4 linked regions of the Caenorhabditis elegans genome follow. The protein of the gene in region 3 purifies or fractionates together with the protein of the main gene of each other region. This does not show direct contact. Each region holds a gene or a part of one and is shown on either strand. Other genes may lie near its edges. The genes, in order: byn-1, K12H4.7, cey-4 and rpl-4.

The links.
Region 1: the proteins of cey-4 (region 3) and byn-1 purify together in Caenorhabditis elegans (affinity purification with mass spectrometry, with the first as the bait; one large-scale study listed by BioGRID). This does not show direct contact.
Region 2: the proteins of cey-4 (region 3) and K12H4.7 purify together in Caenorhabditis elegans (affinity purification with mass spectrometry, with the first as the bait; one large-scale study listed by BioGRID). This does not show direct contact.
Region 4: the proteins of cey-4 (region 3) and rpl-4 purify together in Caenorhabditis elegans (affinity purification with mass spectrometry, with the first as the bait; one large-scale study listed by BioGRID). This does not show direct contact.

The regions. Positions count from the first base shown.
Region 1 is NC_003281.10:6,930,268-6,936,362, forward strand, and holds byn-1 (Cell adhesion protein byn-1), read left to right. Parts: upstream 1-1,733; 5' UTR 1,734-1,737; coding exon 1,738-1,887; intron 1,888-1,956; coding exon 1,957-2,069; intron 2,070-2,116; coding exon 2,117-2,222; intron 2,223-2,274; coding exon 2,275-2,430; intron 2,431-2,476; coding exon 2,477-2,610; intron 2,611-2,658; coding exon 2,659-2,748; intron 2,749-2,799; coding exon 2,800-2,944; intron 2,945-2,990; coding exon 2,991-3,086; intron 3,087-3,134; coding exon 3,135-3,368; intron 3,369-3,393; exon of another isoform or gene 3,394-3,443; coding exon of another isoform or gene 3,444-3,740; intron 3,741-3,790; coding exon of another isoform or gene 3,791-4,075; intron 4,076-4,119; coding exon of another isoform or gene 4,120-4,431; intron 4,432-4,478; coding exon of another isoform or gene 4,479-4,643; intron 4,644-4,688; coding exon of another isoform or gene 4,689-4,907; intron 4,908-4,954; coding exon of another isoform or gene 4,955-5,011; exon of another isoform or gene 5,012-5,052; intron 5,053-5,260; coding exon 5,261-5,386; 3' UTR 5,387-5,595; downstream 5,596-6,095. Other genes in the region: inf-1 (Eukaryotic initiation factor 4A), read left to right, coding at 1-254, 339-758, 811-1,062, 1,118-1,318; F57B9.8 (Tyrosine-protein kinase), read right to left, coding at 3,444-3,740, 3,791-4,075, 4,120-4,431, 4,479-4,643, 4,689-4,907, 4,955-5,011; coq-2 (4-hydroxybenzoate polyprenyltransferase, mitochondrial), read left to right, coding at 5,715-5,833, 5,877-5,983.
Region 2 is NC_003281.10:8,047,919-8,053,084, forward strand, and holds K12H4.7 (Putative serine protease K12H4.7), read right to left. Parts: upstream 3,164-5,166; 5' UTR 3,123-3,163; coding exon 3,092-3,122; intron 2,576-3,091; coding exon 2,472-2,575; intron 2,424-2,471; coding exon 2,222-2,423; intron 2,179-2,221; coding exon 2,088-2,178; intron 2,043-2,087; coding exon 1,807-2,042; intron 1,760-1,806; coding exon 1,624-1,759; intron 1,358-1,623; coding exon 738-1,357; intron 689-737; coding exon 576-688; 3' UTR 532-575; downstream 1-531. Other genes in the region: mals-1 (Mitochondrial Assembly of ribosomal Large Subunit), read left to right, coding at 1-79, 131-292, 337-462.
Region 3 is NC_003281.10:10,866,402-10,870,241, forward strand, and holds cey-4 (CSD domain-containing protein), read right to left. Parts: upstream 2,303-3,840; 5' UTR 2,219-2,302; coding exon 2,167-2,218; intron 2,121-2,166; coding exon 1,508-2,120; intron 979-1,507; coding exon 759-978; 3' UTR 545-758; downstream 1-544. Other genes in the region: oxi-1 (Ubiquitin-protein ligase E3B), read left to right, coding at 45-465; vps-50 (Vps54_N domain-containing protein), read left to right, coding at 2,991-3,068, 3,117-3,332, 3,380-3,813.
Region 4 is NC_003279.8:4,645,108-4,648,949, reverse strand, and holds rpl-4 (Large ribosomal subunit protein uL4), read left to right. Parts: upstream 1-1,986; 5' UTR 1,987-1,992; coding exon 1,993-2,164; intron 2,165-2,170; exon of another isoform or gene 2,171-2,224; intron 2,225-2,246; coding exon 2,247-2,509; intron 2,510-2,561; coding exon 2,562-2,669; intron 2,670-2,718; coding exon 2,719-3,213; 3' UTR 3,214-3,288; downstream 3,289-3,842. Other genes in the region: B0041.5 (Solute carrier family 35 member F5), read left to right, coding at 1-152, 209-510; B0041.8 (Plus3 domain-containing protein), read right to left, coding at 831-1,019, 1,069-1,337, 1,385-1,526; lmd-2 (LysM domain-containing protein), read right to left, coding at 3,325-3,597, 3,646-3,765.

The sequences.
Region 1 (6,095 bases), 3.9 Mb from region 3:
TCGAATCTTTCGACGACATGGAGCTCAAGGAGGAGCTTCTTCGCGGAATCTACGGATTCGGTTTCGAAAAGCCATCTGCTATTCAAAAGCGCGCAATTGTTCCATGCACCACTGGAAAGGACGTCATCGCTCAAGCCCAATCTGGAACTGGAAAGACTGCAACTTTCTCGGTCTCTATTCTTCAGAGAATCGACCACGAGGATCCACACGTGCAAGCTCTCGTTATGGCCCCAACCAGAGAATTGGCTCAACAGGTAAACTTTCTCACTCAGTGTATTTTAGTTATAGATTATTAGCAGATACTTTTAAAGAAAACTTTTCAAAATCTTTCTTTGTAGATCCAAAAGGTCATGAGCGCCCTCGGAGAGTACCTCAACGTTAACATTCTTCCATGTATCGGTGGAACCAGTGTTCGCGACGATCAACGAAAACTCGAAGCCGGAATTCACGTCGTTGTCGGAACTCCAGGACGTGTTGGAGACATGATCAATAGAAATGCTCTTGACACATCCAGAATTAAGATGTTCGTTCTCGACGAGGCCGACGAAATGCTTTCTAGAGGTTTCAAGGATCAGATCTACGAGGTTTTCCGTTCCATGCCACAAGACGTTCAAGTAGTCCTTCTTTCGGCTACTATGCCATCTGAAGTTCTTGATGTCACTAATCGTTTCATGCGCAATCCAATCCGCATTCTTGTCAAGAAGGACGAGCTCACCCTTGAAGGTATCAGACAGTTCTACATCAACGTTCAAAAGGATGTAAGTTTACTCGCCCAGTCTAAGAAATTGTTTTCATGAACCATTTTTTCAGGAGTGGAAGTTTGACTGCCTCTGTGATCTCTACAACGTTGTCAATGTTACTCAAGCCGTCATCTTCTGTAACACTCGCAGGAAGGTCGACACACTCACCGAGAAAATGACTGAAAATCAGTTCACAGTCTCTTGCCTCCACGGAGACATGGATCAAGCTGAGCGTGATACAATTATGCGAGAGTTCCGTTCAGGATCTTCCCGTGTTCTCATCACCACAGACATCTTGGCTCGTGGTATTGACGTACAACAGGTAAGTATAAATATTTGTGTTTATAATTCAATACTATGGAATGTATATATTTTAGGTCTCACTTGTTATCAACTATGATCTCCCATCCAATCGTGAGAACTACATCCATCGTATCGGACGTTCTGGACGTTTCGGTCGTAAGGGAGTTGCCATCAACTTCGTCACCGAGAACGATGCTCGTCAGCTCAAGGAAATTGAAAGCTACTACACCACTCAAATCGAAGAGATGCCAGAATCAATCGCTGACCTCATCTAAATTTTAATCCAATTCCGATCCCCTCCACGATTGTTCCACACGCTTTTCCCTTCCTCTTGTTTCCTCATATTTATCCATGTTATCTGTTTTCTCCTCCACCCCCACCGTCCCACATTTTTATTTTATGCGTGATTTCATCTTTTTAATCACCCCTTTTTAGTACTGGCCCTATCCCATCCAACTTGGTTCAAACATTCTAATTCTCTTTCAATTTAGAGTTTAGTATTGCCCCCTAAAAGTTATAGAGCCACCTTGGTTTTGTTTGACAAAATGTTTTTGTCTGGCGTTCTCTTTTTCTGGAAAATAATGAAATTGCGTATGTTACATTCATTTTAAATCTTATGAACAGGCTTCTGATCCTTTCAGAATATATTGAACACCGTAATTCTGCTAATTTTTAATTATGAATTTCCAGTAACATGGTGAAAAGGAATTTGAAAGGAAGGGGTGACAAATTATCAGCCAATGCTCCACTGGATAACCAGTTGGAAGCTGGTAAAGTTGCAAAGCAACGAGATGAGCTTCGCGAAAAGCAGAAGAGAAAAAGGGAAGACTCGCAGACAGACGAGGTCAGTAAATATTCAGGGAAAATTAAATATTATTTTCATTGACCAGAGAGTTCATAAAATTAGTTTCAGTTCGTTCCTGATTCGCTCTCATCAAAAATCTTGAATGAAGCTCGTAAGCAGCTTCTCGAAGAGGCACTGGAAAGACAAGAAACCGAATCAGCCACATCTAGTGTTCCAAAAAGGTAAATAAACAATTTATCATAATTCAATGCAAGTATTTCTGTTACAGACAACGCGGAGCTTGGCTTGGAGCTGATGCATCCGGCGACAAATCGGACGATGATGATGATGATAATGAAGAAGAAGACGACAATGGATTTGAAGATCAAGTTGTTGTAAGTAAAATCTATTTAGCTTCGTGATAATAATGTTAAACTCCATTTATAGGAACTCGATCCTCGAGATGAAGCTGATTTGGCTAGATTCCTCAAAAAAGATGCTATCCAAATGTCCACACTCTACGATATTATTCAAGCCAAAATTGAAGCTAAACAGAATGATGCAGAGCTTGCACTCAGCCAAGTTGATCCGAATGAGTTTAATGTAATTTTTAAGCATCGAGCCTTGAAGCATAACAAAATGTTTACAGATGCGTGACATGGACCCAGAAGTAGTTGAGATGTATGAGCAGATTGGACAGTATATGTCAAAATATCGCAGTGGAAAAGTCCCAAAAGCATTCAAAATCATTCCAAAAATGATTAACTGGGAGCAAATTCTTTTGTTAGTTGTCTGTTAGTATCGGATTTGAATAAAATAAAACATATTCAGCCTCACAAAGCCTGAAACTTGGACGGCTGCTGCTATGTATCAAGCCACAAGATTGTTTGCGTCGAACATGAACCCAAAAATGTGTCAGAGGTATTTAAATGCCGATTTTAGATATATCAGCTCTAAAACCGTTTGATTCAGATTCTACACTCTTGTTCTTCTCCCACGTCTTCGTGACGACATTGATGAATTCAAGAAACTTAACTATCATCTGTATCAAGCCCTCTGCAAAGCTATCTACAAGCCTGCCGCTTTCTTCAAAGGATTGATTCTTCCATTATTAGAAGTGAGTTTAACTTAAATATTTTTCATGTATATTCTTTTTTTCTCAGTCTGGAACATGTACACTTCGTGAAGCTGTTATCTTCAGCTCTGTCCTCACCAAAGTCCCGATTCCAATTTTTCATTCCGCTGCTGCTATGCTTAGGGTAACTTTTGTTTTAAAATATCTCATCAAAAACCTGTTGATATTTCAGATTGCCGAAATGGAATACACTGGAGCTAATTCCGTGTTTCTTCGAGCTCTCATTGATAAGAAGTATGCTTTACCGTATCGTGCAGTCGACGGAGTCGTTAATCACTTCATTCGTCTGAAAACCGATGAACGAGATATGCCAGTTTTGTGGCATCAGTGTCTTTTGGCACTGTGCCAGCGATACAAGAACGATTTGAATGCCGAGCAGAAGGCAGCTATTTATGAGCTGATCAGAGTAAGTTTAATTTTTAAAAACTATTAAAACTTCGAGTTTTATTATCACGAGAACATCTAGTTAGGAGAGTTATTTTCATGGCTTCTTCAGTCTCGAATCCTTACCAGACAATGGACCCGAACTAGGCCCAGAGTTGCCACCTGGACCGTTCGATGCGCTTGACGGTTTCTTCTTGTTACGTCTTCCAGTCTTTTTAGCAGTTTTATCTCTCATCGGATCTGACATTGGTCCAGTAGACATCATTTTTGCACGGAGCTGTCCTGTCGACTTGTTGACCGAGGTTTTATCTTTCTTTCCTGTGATTTCGTACATCATCTGGACAACTTGGCTCATAGTGGGGCGCTGTTGAGGATCGCGAATCCAGCACTTTTTCTGGAAAATTCCACATTGCTATGAAAATAGTGGAATGAAATAGAACTTACAATAACATCGGCAAGCATAGCTGGAGCCTTTTGACTAATCGGCATACGGTAATCATCGCGTCCAACCTTCTGATGTACCTGCACCACCAACATCTCCGGATACGGCTGAGCTCCATTCTCGATCACCTCCCAGCAGAGAATCGAGAAAGCAAACACATCAGTTTGTGGAGTATAAAGGAAGGAAACGATCGTTTCTGGTGAGAGCCATCTGATTGGAACTCTTTTGCTCGGATCCATCTGATACTCCGTTCCAACTCGAGATAAACCGAAGTCAGAGACTTTAGCCTGAACGTTATTAGTTATTAACTTTTAAATTATTTATAACATACAACGCCTTTTCCATAGAGTATGTTTCTGGCCGCAATGTCCCTGTGTATAATGTTTTTGCTGTGAATGTATGCCAGACCAGCTGCCACTTGTGCGATTATATCCAGTTTCTCAGGCCATTGTACCGATGAATTCTTCTGAAGATATTTATCCAGAGCACCACCAGGAACTAACTCCATGACTACTAGCAATGGTTCATCGATTGCAGCCACGCCGTAACATTTTACAACGTTCTTGTGATCGAATCCGCGCATCAGACGTGCTTCTGTGATGATCTCCTTGATTTGTTCTTTAGTCACTTTTTCAAGTTTTGCCTGAAGTTTCGTCATTACTTTTTATATAAAAGTCTAGTCCAACTCACAACTTTTATAGCGACATCTACTGTAGTCGATCCCATTTTCAGCGTCCCAAGCTTTACTTCTCCGAAAGCACCTTCACCAAGAACTTTTGTCATTGTAATATCGGCGTGATTCAGTTCCCATGATTGTCTACCGATAGGATTCACTAGAACACTGCTTGCAACTTCCTGAACAACAATAATTAGTCTATAATGTGCATGAATCGCTCGTACCTCACTAATTTTAGCCTGTTTGTGATGATTTACTAACTCAGTCAATGTTCCAAATTTAATTTTATCAGTGATTGAATATGCTCCGTCGCTTGTACGAATCACATAATGAGCAACTTCTTGACTTGTCTCGTTCTGCATCACCGAAATGATCAAATGACGTGCTTGTCCTTGAGGCTCTGACGTTCTCATCAGATAATCGCCATTTTTTTGAAGTAAAAGCTGAAAAAGTCGGTGCTCCTTTTAAATAAATATTACTCTCAAATTACCTTTACTTCTTCTCGTGGAAGAAGTCCGTGAAAGAATGGTTGCTCATTGATCTCCATTGCGCCAATTATGTGAAAAGAGTGTAGAATTAATTTCTACGATTATCGAAATGATTAAAATTTCACTTCTGATCGATCTTATGCGTGTTTTCTTCTTTTTTTTAATTTTTTTCCTGGCGTATGGGTTCACATCATTGGTCACGTAAATTTTTTTTTCATAATTATAAAGTTTAAGTCAGGTAATTTCCGAAGTTTTATGGTCCCATGAGTTCAATGTTTCCATTGTTTTTAACCAATTTCAATTTATAGTTCCATGGACACTATCTCATCTCGCCTGAAATTCGCCGTGAGCTCGAATCCAAGGAAACCGAAGACGGACATGTTATCACTTCAGTTGTGGTCGAAGGCCGAAAGACGGATAGTATGGAATTCTAAATCACACACAAACAGAAAGAGACGCAGAAGAGAAATATTTCCCGCTTTCACTCTATTCTGCACGTAGGCTTTGCTCTTTTCTTCTATTTCCATTATTGTTCGTTTCCCCGCGCCCCTCCCCAAAAATTGTTCATTTCTTTGTTTTTTATTCATCATTGTTGGTTATGTTACTCTCTTCCTCATTCAAATGAAATTGTTGTTGATTTTCTAAATACAAAGTATTAGTTTCAAAGAGCAAAGGTTTTCGTCCCTAACTTAATGCTTGTTTTTTCAAATTCATGTTATCATGTCTTTGACGAGAGAAAGTTTTCAGATTCGTCAAAAAAAAATGATAACCAGGTCAATAGGTATCGCTAGAAGATCCAATTCGATTAATTGCATTGTTGGATCAAATACAAGCACTTCATATAGTTTAGATGAATCAACAAAAAGATGGATTTCCACTAGGTTCAGAATTCGAAAATTTTAATTTTAATTGTTATAATTTTAGTACAAAACAACCAATGTCACTGATACCAACTGCAAGTAGCCTTGTTGCTTCTTCTCCGCCAAATTTGAAGCCATATCTTCAACTGATGAGAGTCGACAAGCCTATCGGTAATTTATTATTACACAGACGCGAAGTTTTGGGAGTTTTGCGCCGAAAATACGATACCTAGTCTCGACGCGATTAATTTTGTAAAATACAAACAAATGTGCGCCTTTAAGA
Region 2 (5,166 bases), 2.8 Mb from region 3:
AGCTTTGACTGATCAAAGAGCAAAAGATGTATTTGTTGTAAAATCAGAAGAAACAGAAATGACACCGTATACACATAAGGTAATTAATCCTCGTAATTCAGTAAGGAGAAAATTAATCTCATATTTTCAGATAATTTGCTCAGCATTCAATTCGCGACAAGCTTCAGCAATTTCTGAAAATCTTCGATCTCTTCTAAAAATTGACGGAGTGTCGAATGGATCCATGTCACATGCACGAAGGAGCACAAAACGAAGCAATGGATGGTATGTCAGTGAGGTGGAAAGAGTTCAGGTATTACTTCCTACATATTATATTTTTTAATGCCTATACTTCAGGTGCACGTAATGAGTGAAGAATGCCGTGAGAAGTACGATTTGGAAGCAATTTGGGCTGGCGATGATCGGATCTTAGACGAGATTGATGAGGAGAAACAGAAGATTTTGCTGCCACCGAGACGATAATGTTTTCCTTTTGTTATTTATAACATTTAGATTATTGTTATTATTTTTGTAATATCGTTGATATGAAATATTAGAGTCAAATTTTCATTTCTATAACATAAAATCCATAACAATTAATTAGCATGAAGCCATCCATCAAGAACATCCGAGATTCTTTGGCGGGCGTTTGTCAAGTACATACTATCCAAGCTGGATGCTCCGTACATGTCAGCACAATGGGCGGTTCCTGGAATTAATGTAATTATACTATTTTTGTACATAAAGTTCAAGATTACCATTGATCACAACTGGCACAATATTGCTGTTCGAGCTTGTCAATTTTCCAAGTGCATGCCATGGATCAATATCTCCATTTGGTAGAAGAATTCTGTCAGTGTTCAAATTATCTCTTCCTCCATAATATTGATTAGTGTAATCTACAGATGTCTGAACTTCTTGACTATTGTATGCAGCTCCATAGATAGCAGTACATTCATCAATATAATATTGAGCTGGAAGATTGCTTACACCTCCGAACCATGGTCCAGCAGTAGCTGATGAAGTTGATTGATAATATCCGAACTCAGTGCAAGTCTGCCAAACCCATGCTCTGTCAGATTGAGCCTCTCCGAATGTTTCATCTTTCATGAAAGAAATGAAACCATTGTAATCAATATCATTGCATCCGAAATATCCACTGACTTGGTTAAAATAGTCATTGACTTGTTTCAATTTCTGAAGTGGTGTTGATTTAGTGTTAATGTGATAACGGCAAATGGCATGAGAAATTGTGAGTTGAGTGGCAAACGATCCAGCGGCATCACCAGAATATTGAACAACCTCCATGTATGGAGAATATACTGTTTCCCAGAAATACTTGAGTGATTTATCGTCCATTTGAATGTCTTGGCAGAGACTGAAAAATTGTTGCTTATTTTACAATATATATTTCAATTTGACGCATTGAATGAACACGCCAAGTTATACGCACTTCTCAAAACATTTGTGACTAGAATAGCTGACAAAGGAACTATGTAGAGACTGGAACTTCCAGAGAAAAGTTTCAAAAAAGTTAGAGCGGTTAATTCAGTTTGAAACGCGCAGGAATGGGGGGAATACAGAAGGTTCACTCGAGGTTTTTGGCTTTGGCTAACTAGTAAGCATACATCATAATAAACTCACTGGAAAGCAGTTTTCAATTGTTTGCGTCCATCGGAAGTTTGAAGAAGAGAAGCAACCAAGTTGAATCCTTGGGTCACACTGGCGGCACACTCAGTTGAGTTACGGGTAATTGAGTTTTGTACAACCTCAAGATACTCTGAAATAGAAAGTAATTGGAAGTAAATTGCTGCGTATCTTTTTAACCTTTGAAGTCAACCTCGGCTTGAACTGGACCACTGGATCCAACAGCAGCATACACCAATTCTGGATGCTTTGCACGAGTCCATGCGGCCAAAGCTCCAGAGTAGGATCCTCCGAAAGTGACCCACTTGGCATTGGCCAATTGTGGGAACTTGGCGGTCATTGCCTTAATGAAAGCGGCGGCATCCTCAATAGCTTGGGCAGAAGACAAGTATTTCAGGTTTGGTACGGACATGTCGCTGGAAAACATTAATAATAGGGAGTTATTTCGTAAAAAGAAATACCTGGTTGGGTGAGTCTCTCCATAGAATCTGTGCTCAATATCAAAGACCCAGGCTCCTTGTTTGGCAGCCAAGTTGGTGATTTCAAGTCCAGCTTTAAAAATAAAATGTCTTGTATGATAAAAAAGTAAACTAACGATAAGAAACCCAATAACTAGACTCTGGTCCTTCTCCTCCAAGCATCAAGAAAGCTGGTCCTCCAGCCTTGTACCATTGGTTGTTATGATAATATCTCTGCTGGAAAGTCTTTCCGACGGAAGAATCAAAATGATCAAGAGTTTGAGTGAAAGTAGATGAGACTACATTGTCAAAGTTGATCATATGAGAAACGGAAGACATCTGGAATAGACTTTTTTTGTTCTGTACATTGGATGTTTGAACACTTACTGGTGGAGTCTTCTTCATTCCTCCACGTGGACGTCCACGGATCATGTTACGACGAACACGCTGCTCATTGCTTGGAGCAGACAATACCTGGGTCAGCACACATGCTGAAATGTTAAGTTATTCAGTGTGAAACTACAGAAACTATGGTAAACATAGAACTGAACTTAAAATTTATTAATTCGATGGTAAATAATGTTATCAGTTTTGAAACCTTAGTTTTTAGACAGTTGCTCGTCTCGATAAAAATGAATCCACGAATTATAAATTTTGTGTATTTCGTTGTAAAGATTAGTAGAAAATTCTTTTGAAAGATTCAACAATACAACATTTGAGAACATTGGCTAGACTAGATCTAGGTCTAGATAGAGTATATTCCCGTCGAAAACAGTTTCCAGATTCCTTATTTCCAGAAAAATATGTGAGACTTCATAATTTGTTTTTTTAGATTTTGAGTAATAAAAATATGTTCTGGCCATATAGCCTAATGGTCACGAATTTTAGAAAAAAACGACTCATGAAATTTACGGAACTGGCATTGAATCTGGGCAACTTCACTTTTAAGCTCCTCAAAGAGAAAGTAGCTACAGAAATTCTAAAACGATGTTTAAAATTAAATTTACCTGCCAGTAGCACTGCCAAAAGAGTCTTCATGTTTCCACTTTCTAGAATAAAAAGAAAAAGTGAAATAAAGCAAGAGTTTTCAGTTGATAAGCACCCACTTATACACTTTTCCTTATCAAATAATTTATCGCTGATTTGCGAGTTCAATTCCGTTTTCGCTATCACATTTAAATGATGATTTTACTGATTCGTGGCACAACTACATTCGAAATACTAAATCATCTTTTAGACTGACGTACTTGCAAACTGGGTTCTTAGTTTACAGGAATACTGGGCCAAAGTTTGAAAAATAAAATAACAAAGCCAATTTCAGAGAAACTGCAAAGATCAATAAAAAGTTGGAATTCGAAACGTTTAATTGTTTACTGGAACTATCAAATTGAATATAATCTTTTCAAAAATAAAATTTCCATATTCATAACATCATACCTAAGCATTTTCTGTCAGGATATGGAAGAAAATAAAAGGAAAAGTTGGTTGAATAAATAAATTACTAATAGAGGAAATACGGTATTCTTCGAAAAACACTTGCAACAAGCCAGTCATCATTTCAAATTTTTTTAAAATTCCGTTTCTCCATTCCATCATTTTCCATAAATATGTGCACTGAACTGTTTTACCTGCTCTCACTTGACTTCTTCTTCTATTCTACCTTCTTCAATCTTATTTCTTTTCCGTTGTTCGCAAACACTAGCCACATCACGCCTCCCGGTTGAGGAGATGAGAGGTAGGTGCTCATCTATTCAATACTCCGTTTTTCAAGTTTTAAATCGAGACATTTGTTCAAAATTGGTGAATTAAGGTCTCGCTATGTTCTCGCAAGTTCCAATTTTTATTGATTTGATTTCTCATCACGATCGTAGGTGCTAAAAATTTGTCAAGAATTCTCACAGAAATCTAAACTCTAAAAATATTATTTCCCTCTATAATTTGCTAGCTTTCAAACGTTTATTTCTACATATTGAATTTAATTCTAAATTTCCAAATTACGTGAATGCTGCCTAAAGTCTCGATTACGCAATAGTTACATAACCAAAGATGTGTCTTGACACTCCTTCAACTTTTTTTCCCAAAATTCTCGAGGTAAAAAAGTGAAAAAAAGGGCAGTTAGAGACCACCTGGGTGTTGATGCAAGTCTTGCGTTGTGTCTTTTTTATACATTGAAATTTGGAAAAAAAATGCTTGAGAAATGAAATTATGGTAGAATACGGTAGAACTTGTATTTCCAAACTGTGAACGTGATGCATTTCTTGTTGGAATCCTTAGAGAATACGATATATTAGCAAACATCAAGAATCTTCCATTTTCCTTTTTCTTTCAAACTTTCGATTCCGTTAGCCATAACTTGCAATACGAGACAGTTCAAAAAGAGAAAAAACATTGAAAAACCATAGCATCTTCATAAAAAGTGCAATTAAATATATTGAGTAACCGTCTAAATGGTCATCTAGTTTTGTTCCGCCGTCACGCAACTATTAAATTCTCCATCTTTAGCCAATTATTATTATTCTTGGGTGTTATGCAACTTTTCTATTCGTACAGATTTTTCTTCATTTGGTTTTGGTTTTTAATATTCTTTTTTTTTGTTTTTTAACGTGTTAAAAAATTGTGAAAATGATTACAAAATATCAAACTAAATATTTTCCAATTTCGAAAAAATCCACACACATGTATTTATCGAATTCTATTCAAACATAAATTTCCCACTATTTTTTTGTCCAAAACAGAAAGAGTGGAATGTGTAAGATACAACTCAGTTTTTCACAAGTATCCAATCCAATTATGTGCACAGTCTCGAGTTTTAATGGTATGGGAACTTGGGATTTGAGATAATAAAAATAGTTGGTTACGGTGGTTGATGAGAATTTTTATTTGTTGCTGCATTGAGACTAAGAGAGTTGGATATCACGTGATTTCTCAATTTTCATAATTATCTACTATTGTATAAGTTGCTGGAAAATTTTTGACAAAATAATTGTTTTATGAACACTTACCGAAGGGGTTTTTATGGAGATTTGATTTTTCAACTTCTCAATTTCACAAATTTTCAGAAATATGTGTGGCCAAAGTATAC
Region 3 (3,840 bases):
TAATATATACCATTAATTTGAAATTTCGAGAATTAATATTCCAGAGACATCGATCTGGCGGATCTGAAGCGCAATGTGCAATATTTCGGAGGATTCCATGGAAACCATCGGCTTATTAAATGGCTTTGGGATATTCTTGAGAACAAGTTCACTTCAGAAGAGAGGAAACTGTTCCTAAAGTTTGTCACTTCTTGCTCGAGACCTCCTGTTCTTGGATTTTCGTATCTCGAGCCGCCCTTCTCCATTCGATGCGTTGAAGTTTCCGACGATCAGGATCAGGGAGACACCTTGGGAAGTGTGGTTCGTGGATTCTTGGCTTTGAGAAAGGGAACTGCAGCTACTCGACTTCCAACTGCGTCCACCTGCTTTAACTTGCTAAAGCTTCCGAATTACAATAAGAAGTCACTGCTGCTCGAGAAACTTCGTTACGCGATCCACGCTGGGACTGGATTCGAGCTTTCCTAAATTCCTAATTATTTATTACATATTTTTATTGCTTACTGGTAGTTTGAATTTGATTTCTATAAAACAATGAACAGAATCATTTGCATTGAAACTTTTACTTAATATAAACTCAAAAAGTTCTCGAAATTGAATTCCAAAGAACTGAGTGGATATAAATCGTGCAGAACAAATTTTGGAAATTTTGGGCTTTTCGAAAGGATCAGCTATACAATTCAAGAAATGGGACTGTTCTCAATACAAAAGGTGTTTAATTAGATAACAAAAGTTGATGGTAGGTGTCAACAGCTAGAAGCCTAAGCTTTAGCTGGAGCAGCGGTCTCTTCCTTCTGCTCAGTGGTGGTGGTGGGCTCTTTATTTCCCTTGCGCTGACGTTTCTTCTTCTTCTCGGCGGCTGGAGCAGCATCGGTAGTGGCAGCGGCAGCATCACCGTCTCCCTTCTCGCCGGATGGAGCATCTGGCTGGAGCTTTCCGTGGCGGCGAGTGCGACGCTTTCCGCGAGTTTCTCCGTCTCCGCTGAAAAATTGTAATTTTAGAGTTAAAATTCCAGTTTTAAATGGAACGTATAGACCAGGGGTGTGCGGCAAATTTGCCGAATTTGCCGAGCTCGGCAAATTTTGAGATTTGCCGCACACCCCTGGTATAGACCCAAAATGTGCAAATTGCATAATAAAACTTCTTTAAAATTTGAAAAAATGGGCTAACGTCCAATTTGGCCACTTTCTGTCCAAAAATGATTTTTTTTTTCGGAATTATCTACCTTTATTGCATATTTTGCTCGTTTATCTCACATTATTTCGTTGATTAAAGTAGTTTTTACACCAATAGGTAACCAAAAATGCCAAAAATCAACGAACTAATATGAGATAAACGACTAAAATATGCAATAAAAGCAGATGATACCGAAAATATCAACTTTCGGCGGCCACTTTGAGATTTTACTTAATTTCAGCCCATTTTTCATTTTTTTTTTTAAATAAATCGGTTTATTTGAGCGCATTTTGAGCCTAAAAACACCAGAACCGTTACTAAAAGCTAGACTAACCTATTCTCAATGGTGTCCGACTTCTCCTTCTCATCTTTCTCATCTCCGTCCTGGTCACGTGTCTGACGTGGAGCACCACGTCCTCGTCCACCGCGTCCTCGTGCACCACCACGTCCTCTTGTTCTCCAATGGGTGAGCAAAGTACGAGCGAATCTCGATCCACGAACATTCTCCCCATCTGGTCCAGTCACGTTGGCGGCTTCTGGTCCTTTGAGTCCTTCGACAATGTCAAAGACGACTGGCTCATCGTCATCGAGAGTTCTGAGATAGAACTTAATGGTGCTTGACTTGGTGATGGCGGTCTGATGGACGAAGAAGTCCTCATTCTCGTCGGTTGGCTTATCACGAGCAACGAATCCGTAGCGTCCACGAACGGAGAACCATTTGACGTGTCCTTTGACACCGGTCTCGATGACCTTCTTCGATGCAAGATCCTCCTCGAGCTTCTTCATCTGATCCTCATATGGTGGTCTTGGTTGGTAGAAGTGTCCTCCGCGACCACGACCACGTCCTCGTCCGCGGAATCCGCCACGACGTGCTGGCTGCTTTGCATCGTTCGCCTCGTTGGTAGTGTCGACGGCCAGGTTGTCCAATTTCTCGGTCACCTCGGCAACTGCAATTTGAGGGATTAAATATTGAAGACCACCTGTCCTACTCACCTTTGTCCTTCTTCTCCTCAATAGTTGTTCCGTTAGCTTGTTCAGTCGACATGATGTTTCACGGCGTTGGCCTTAGTTTTTGATGGTGTCAAGGGGGTGAGGAAAATCCTCTGAGCTGATTGTACTCAACTACACTCTGCAAAAAAAAAAAATTAAATATAAACATCGAATGCAAATGTGCCACACAAAGGGTGTGGTGGAAAATGACACGACAGAACGATCGATAAGTCAAATTGACATGGGGCGGAAATGTTATCATCCGATTAAAAAGTGCTAAGCGCCGTTGTTTTTTTTTCAAATTTATTGGAAATCGGAACGAACTTAATGGAAAAAATCGGGGAAATATTGCAAAAAAGCTCTTACAATTTCGAAATATATCGAGAATTTTAGGATATTTCCTCATATTATCACAATTTTTCTGTTTAATATTCAATTTAACGCCAAAAAACCGAAGAAACGACGGCAATTTTCAATTTTTCACCAAAAAATAAGAAAGAACTAATAAAAATCGACTGCCAAGAAGGGAGAAAACGTCTTATTTGAAAAATGGTGCTGTGCTCGCAATAGAGAAACGCGCGCGCATTGCAAGGAAACGCAACACCCTGGCACACTTTTTCTCGGATTTACTCTTTCTTATCCGCTTTTAGCTTCCTCTTTGGGAAAAATCGATTGGAATAATTAGATTTTCGAGTGGTTTTTCACAGGATTTACAGAAAAATCGATACTGCTACTTGAAATTTAAATTAATTTTGCTTGCTTCCGCTGGTTTTTTAAATTAAAATACTAACAAATTAACAATTTCAGAGGTGAAAGCTTGGCGAGAAATGGACCGATTTAAGGAACAACTAGCAAAAACTGTTAATCAAATAGGCGAACAATTTTCTTCGGATAGCGATGTAAAAGTGGGAATTTTTTCAAGGAAAATGTCAAATATTAAATCGACTTTTCAGGTTTTATTAGATAATATGAACGAGAAAGTTATGAGCTCTTACGATGCTCCGTCGTGCTCGGAAAGCCCTCCAATAGCTCCAGAGAGTAATTCACAAAACTCAACGCCTCGGAGAGTAAAATCAAAAATTTCCGAGGAAGATGACGTCATCAACTCGATAGACGCCGCGTATTTTATAGATAACGATGAGTTCGATGCGATTGACTATGAATTGAAGGTTTAGTGGAACAAAAAACCAAGTAAAACGAAAATTTTAACTTTTAGAAGCTCTGTGACATCGAAATGTGCTACGAGGACATCCAGCGCGAGAGGTTTCGGCTAAAATCTCAGCATACTGTGGTTTCCAAGAAAATATCCACACTAATCATGCAAAAATCTTCATCCTACACGGCACAGGTCGGTGAAATGGAGAAAATCCGAGACGAAGTCGGAAGTGTTATCAACGAAATTCTGACGATACGAAAAGCGCTCGCGCTGGCGACAAGCCAAACTCGGACGTGTCTCGGATTAATCGCTTATAAAAATAAGAAAATCGTTCTAAATCAGCTGAAAATGACGCTCACAACGATAAAAGGCTTCCACGAGACCGAACAGCACATTCGAGAAACTATTGAAGAAGGAAATTTCCCGCTTGCAATTCAAATGCTAATCGAAACTCAAATAAAAGCCGGGGGATACGCTCATTTTACATGTGTAAAGTAAGTATTAAATGGATTTTTGAATGA
Region 4 (3,842 bases), on a different chromosome or scaffold from region 3:
GGATATTAATTTGATGTTTGGAGCAATCGGAGTCATCGCTTTGGTTCTTGGAACACCTACATTAAATTTGTTGGATAGATTTGGTGTAGAACCATTACATCCACTTCCAAATGCTACACAGTTCTCGTCAATTTTATTTTCTGCGCTCATTGGTGAGATTTATTGTATTAATGAGTATTTTTAATATTAATTTTTTTTTTAATTTCAGGAACAATTGTCGCTGATTACCTTTGGCTTCTTGCCGCTGGAATGTGTGATTCTCTCACCACCTGCCTATCAATGACTGTAAGCATTCCTCTGTCATTCCTCGCCGATACAGTGATTCGAAGCAAAGCTCCAACACTGGCACAAGTTATTGCATCGATTCCGATCCTCGTGGCATTCGTTGGCGCTGCATATGCACAAAATCCGTCAACTTCAATACGAAAAGGGCTTTCAAAACGAGTACGAAAAGTGGAATCATTATCGCCGGACAATGAACATCTTATGGATAGTCTATCGGACGAGTAGCATCTCTCTTAGAAACATTGTTTAAACTCTCTCAGAATCTCTATTTTCTCTTGTTCTACTGGTCGCTTTATAGGCATTCGAAGGTTGTGACACACTCCCCTCTGATCAACTAGTCATATTTAATTTTTTTTGCACTGTATTAAATTCGGGAAAAATAAATGTTTGAAGAAATATCGTTTTATGTTACTTTTATAAACTTGATATTTATCAGACAATTCAGATCGTTCAGTAAATCGGAAGTGAAAATTAATACAGCGTTGGCTTTTTGGTTTTGTGATCAACCCGGCATATTACTAGTAATTTAACGATTAATATTAAAATTATGCCACAAAGCGAGCTTTGGTGTCTTGTCCTGGAACATCAATGAATATTCCTCTTGCAGATGACTCAAAAATCTTGACATTCGCTTTACGCTTTCCATGTTGTTCCTGATCGAATGAATCCAATTCCGGAGTGTAACGGTTTTTGGGATAGTAGCGAGCTAGAGTGTTGTAGGCGGATTTCGGAGTCTGAAAATAAAATGATTGTTTTTAATTTCAAAATAAATTATCAACTTACCAAACTAATTTCCTTTCCAATGACCGTCCCAACTGGAAGATCAGTAAGTTTCACAGATGCCAGACAATTTGAGCGCATACACTCCAGAACCATCATACGATCGGGACGTCCTGGATCAACAACTCGAAGCATTCGGCATCCACAATGAGAGCATTGTTCTTCTGAAAACATACTGGTGTTCGAATCATCGTCCATTTTTCTTTTCGCATTTCTTCGAAATCCTGATGATTCAACTGACGATGTCGACGGTGTTGTGGAAATTATCTCACCTGAAAACTCAATTATTTAACAAAACATATTATTGTAAAACACATACCAACTGTTTCAACGTCGTTCAATTTTCTCAGCGTATCCTCATTTACACGGAAATTTTTCATCTGTGCCGCTTTCCGCAATAATTCCATTCGCTTGTAGTCGATTTTCACGAGAGGAAAGAATGTTGATGTAGAAGACAGCATCTATCCCAAACACTTATGTATTGAAACAAGTAAAAACACAATTAAACTATTTGAAAACGTTTTTAAGCAAGAAAATGGAAGGATCGGGTTTGAAATCAGCGGATACCGCGCCCTCGTAAATTGACACAAGTTGCCTGCCGACATTTCGTCTCATCGCGGCGAGACCCCGACGTTGGATACTCAGCCAATACCCTAATTTTTGCCTCCCTTTAAACACGATTTCCCTGTTTTCTGAAATTTTTTAGGAACTTTTTTCGTTTTTTCAATATAAAAAAGATTTTCGGTGATATTTTCACATTTGGAATGTATTAAAATAAGGTTTTGAATATCCTAAGCCTGTTTCGGTCGAAAAATCTGAATATTGCCTAAAATATCATCATTTTTTCTTTACTCTTCTCGCATTTTTTGAATCATTTTCTTTTAAAATTAATCTATTTTTTACTATTTCTGTTGATTGCAGGTAATAATGGCGGCCAGACCGCTCGTGACTGTGTACGATGAAAAGTACGAGGCCACTCAATCTCAAATCCGGCTCCCAGCCGTTTTCCGTACTCCAATCCGCCCAGACTTGGTGAGCTTCATCGCCGATCAGGTCCGCAGAAACAGAAGACAGGCCCATGCCGTTAACACCAAGGCCGGTAAGTGACATAATTAGATTCGGTTATTGATTATTTTAATTTCAAACTAACTTCTGTGTTCCTCAATTACTATTTATTTCAGGAAAGCAACACTCTGCTGAGTCCTGGGGAACTGGACGTGCCGTTGCCCGTATTCCACGTGTTCGCGGAGGAGGTACCCACCGTTCCGGACAGGGAGCTTTCGGAAATATGTGCCGTGGAGGACACATGTTCGCCCCACTCAAGGTGTTCCGCCGCTGGCACCGCAACGTCAACATTGCCCAGAAGAGATACGCTGTTTCCTCAGCTATTGCTGCCTCCGGAATCCCAGCTCTTCTCCAAGCTCGTGGACACGTCATCGATCAAGTAAGTAAACTTTTTTAAAAGTTTTGTTCCTATTTACAGTACTATTTTTTAGGTCGCTGAGGTCCCACTTGTTGTTTCCGACAAGGTCGAAAGCTTCCGCAAGACCAAGGAGGCCGTCGTCTTCCTCCGTCGCTCCCACTTGTGGGCTGATATCGAGAAGGTATACCATTTAAAAAAATTAAATTTGTTTTTAACGTAACAGTTTTAAGGTTTACAACTCGAAGAGAAACCGCGCCGGAAAGGGAAAGCTCCGCAACCGTCAACACAAGCAGAAGCTCGGACCAGTTGTTATCTACGGACAAGATGCTGAGTGCGCTCGTGCCTTCCGCAACATCCCAGGAGTCGATGTCATGAATGTTGAGAGACTCAACCTTCTCAAGCTCGCCCCAGGAGGACATCTCGGACGTCTTATCATCTGGACCGAGTCTGCCTTCAAGAAGCTTGATACCATCTACGGAACCACCGTTGCCAACTCTTCTCAACTCAAGAAGGGATGGTCTGTCCCACTCCCAATCATGGCCAACTCCGACTTCTCCCGCATCATCCGTTCCGAAGAGGTCGTTAAGGCTATCAGAGCTCCAAAGAAGAACCCAGTGCTTCCAAAGGTCCACCGCAACCCACTCAAGAAGAGAACCCTCTTGTACAAGTTGAACCCATATGCTTCTATCCTCCGCAAGGCTTCAAAGGCCAACGTGAAGAAATAAGTATTCTGTTGTTGATAAACTTTTTTGTTAATAACCGATTTAATTTGTTGAACGCATTGTTTAAATTTCCAGAACGATTTACTTTGACAACAGATTTATTTCAAAAATAATTTAAATATGATCATAAGCTGAGCTGCTAGGGTTATCACATTTCCGAAACGATTTGATGTTCCGATCTATGCGCTGTAAAATATCTTTCATAGATTTTTCTTCTCGGCTACTGTCGACCCGTTCAGTAGTGGCAGGCACAATTTTGCATTGAGTTTCTTGCAAAGATGGTTTGAGATTAGGTTGTTGTGAATTGAAAATGGGTATTCTAATGAATTGCTTCATGAACAAGGCGCTGGGAGACCAAAGCTTGTTTGCACGAACGAGAGATGAAACCTGAAATCGTACATGAACAACAGATAAGGAGAAACAAATGGAACCAACCGAACAATTATGCTTTAATGCTATTCTTTCAAGTGTATCATCGGTTTGAACTTGGTAAATTGTATATGAACATGGTGTAACTGGTGAAGATTGACTTTGGGTTGTGCCGTATCTTCGAACCTGTAGAATCACATTTTAAATGTGCTGTGAGGACCGATTAAGGATTTTGCTTTAAGTTATAGAAAATGATCGAATAT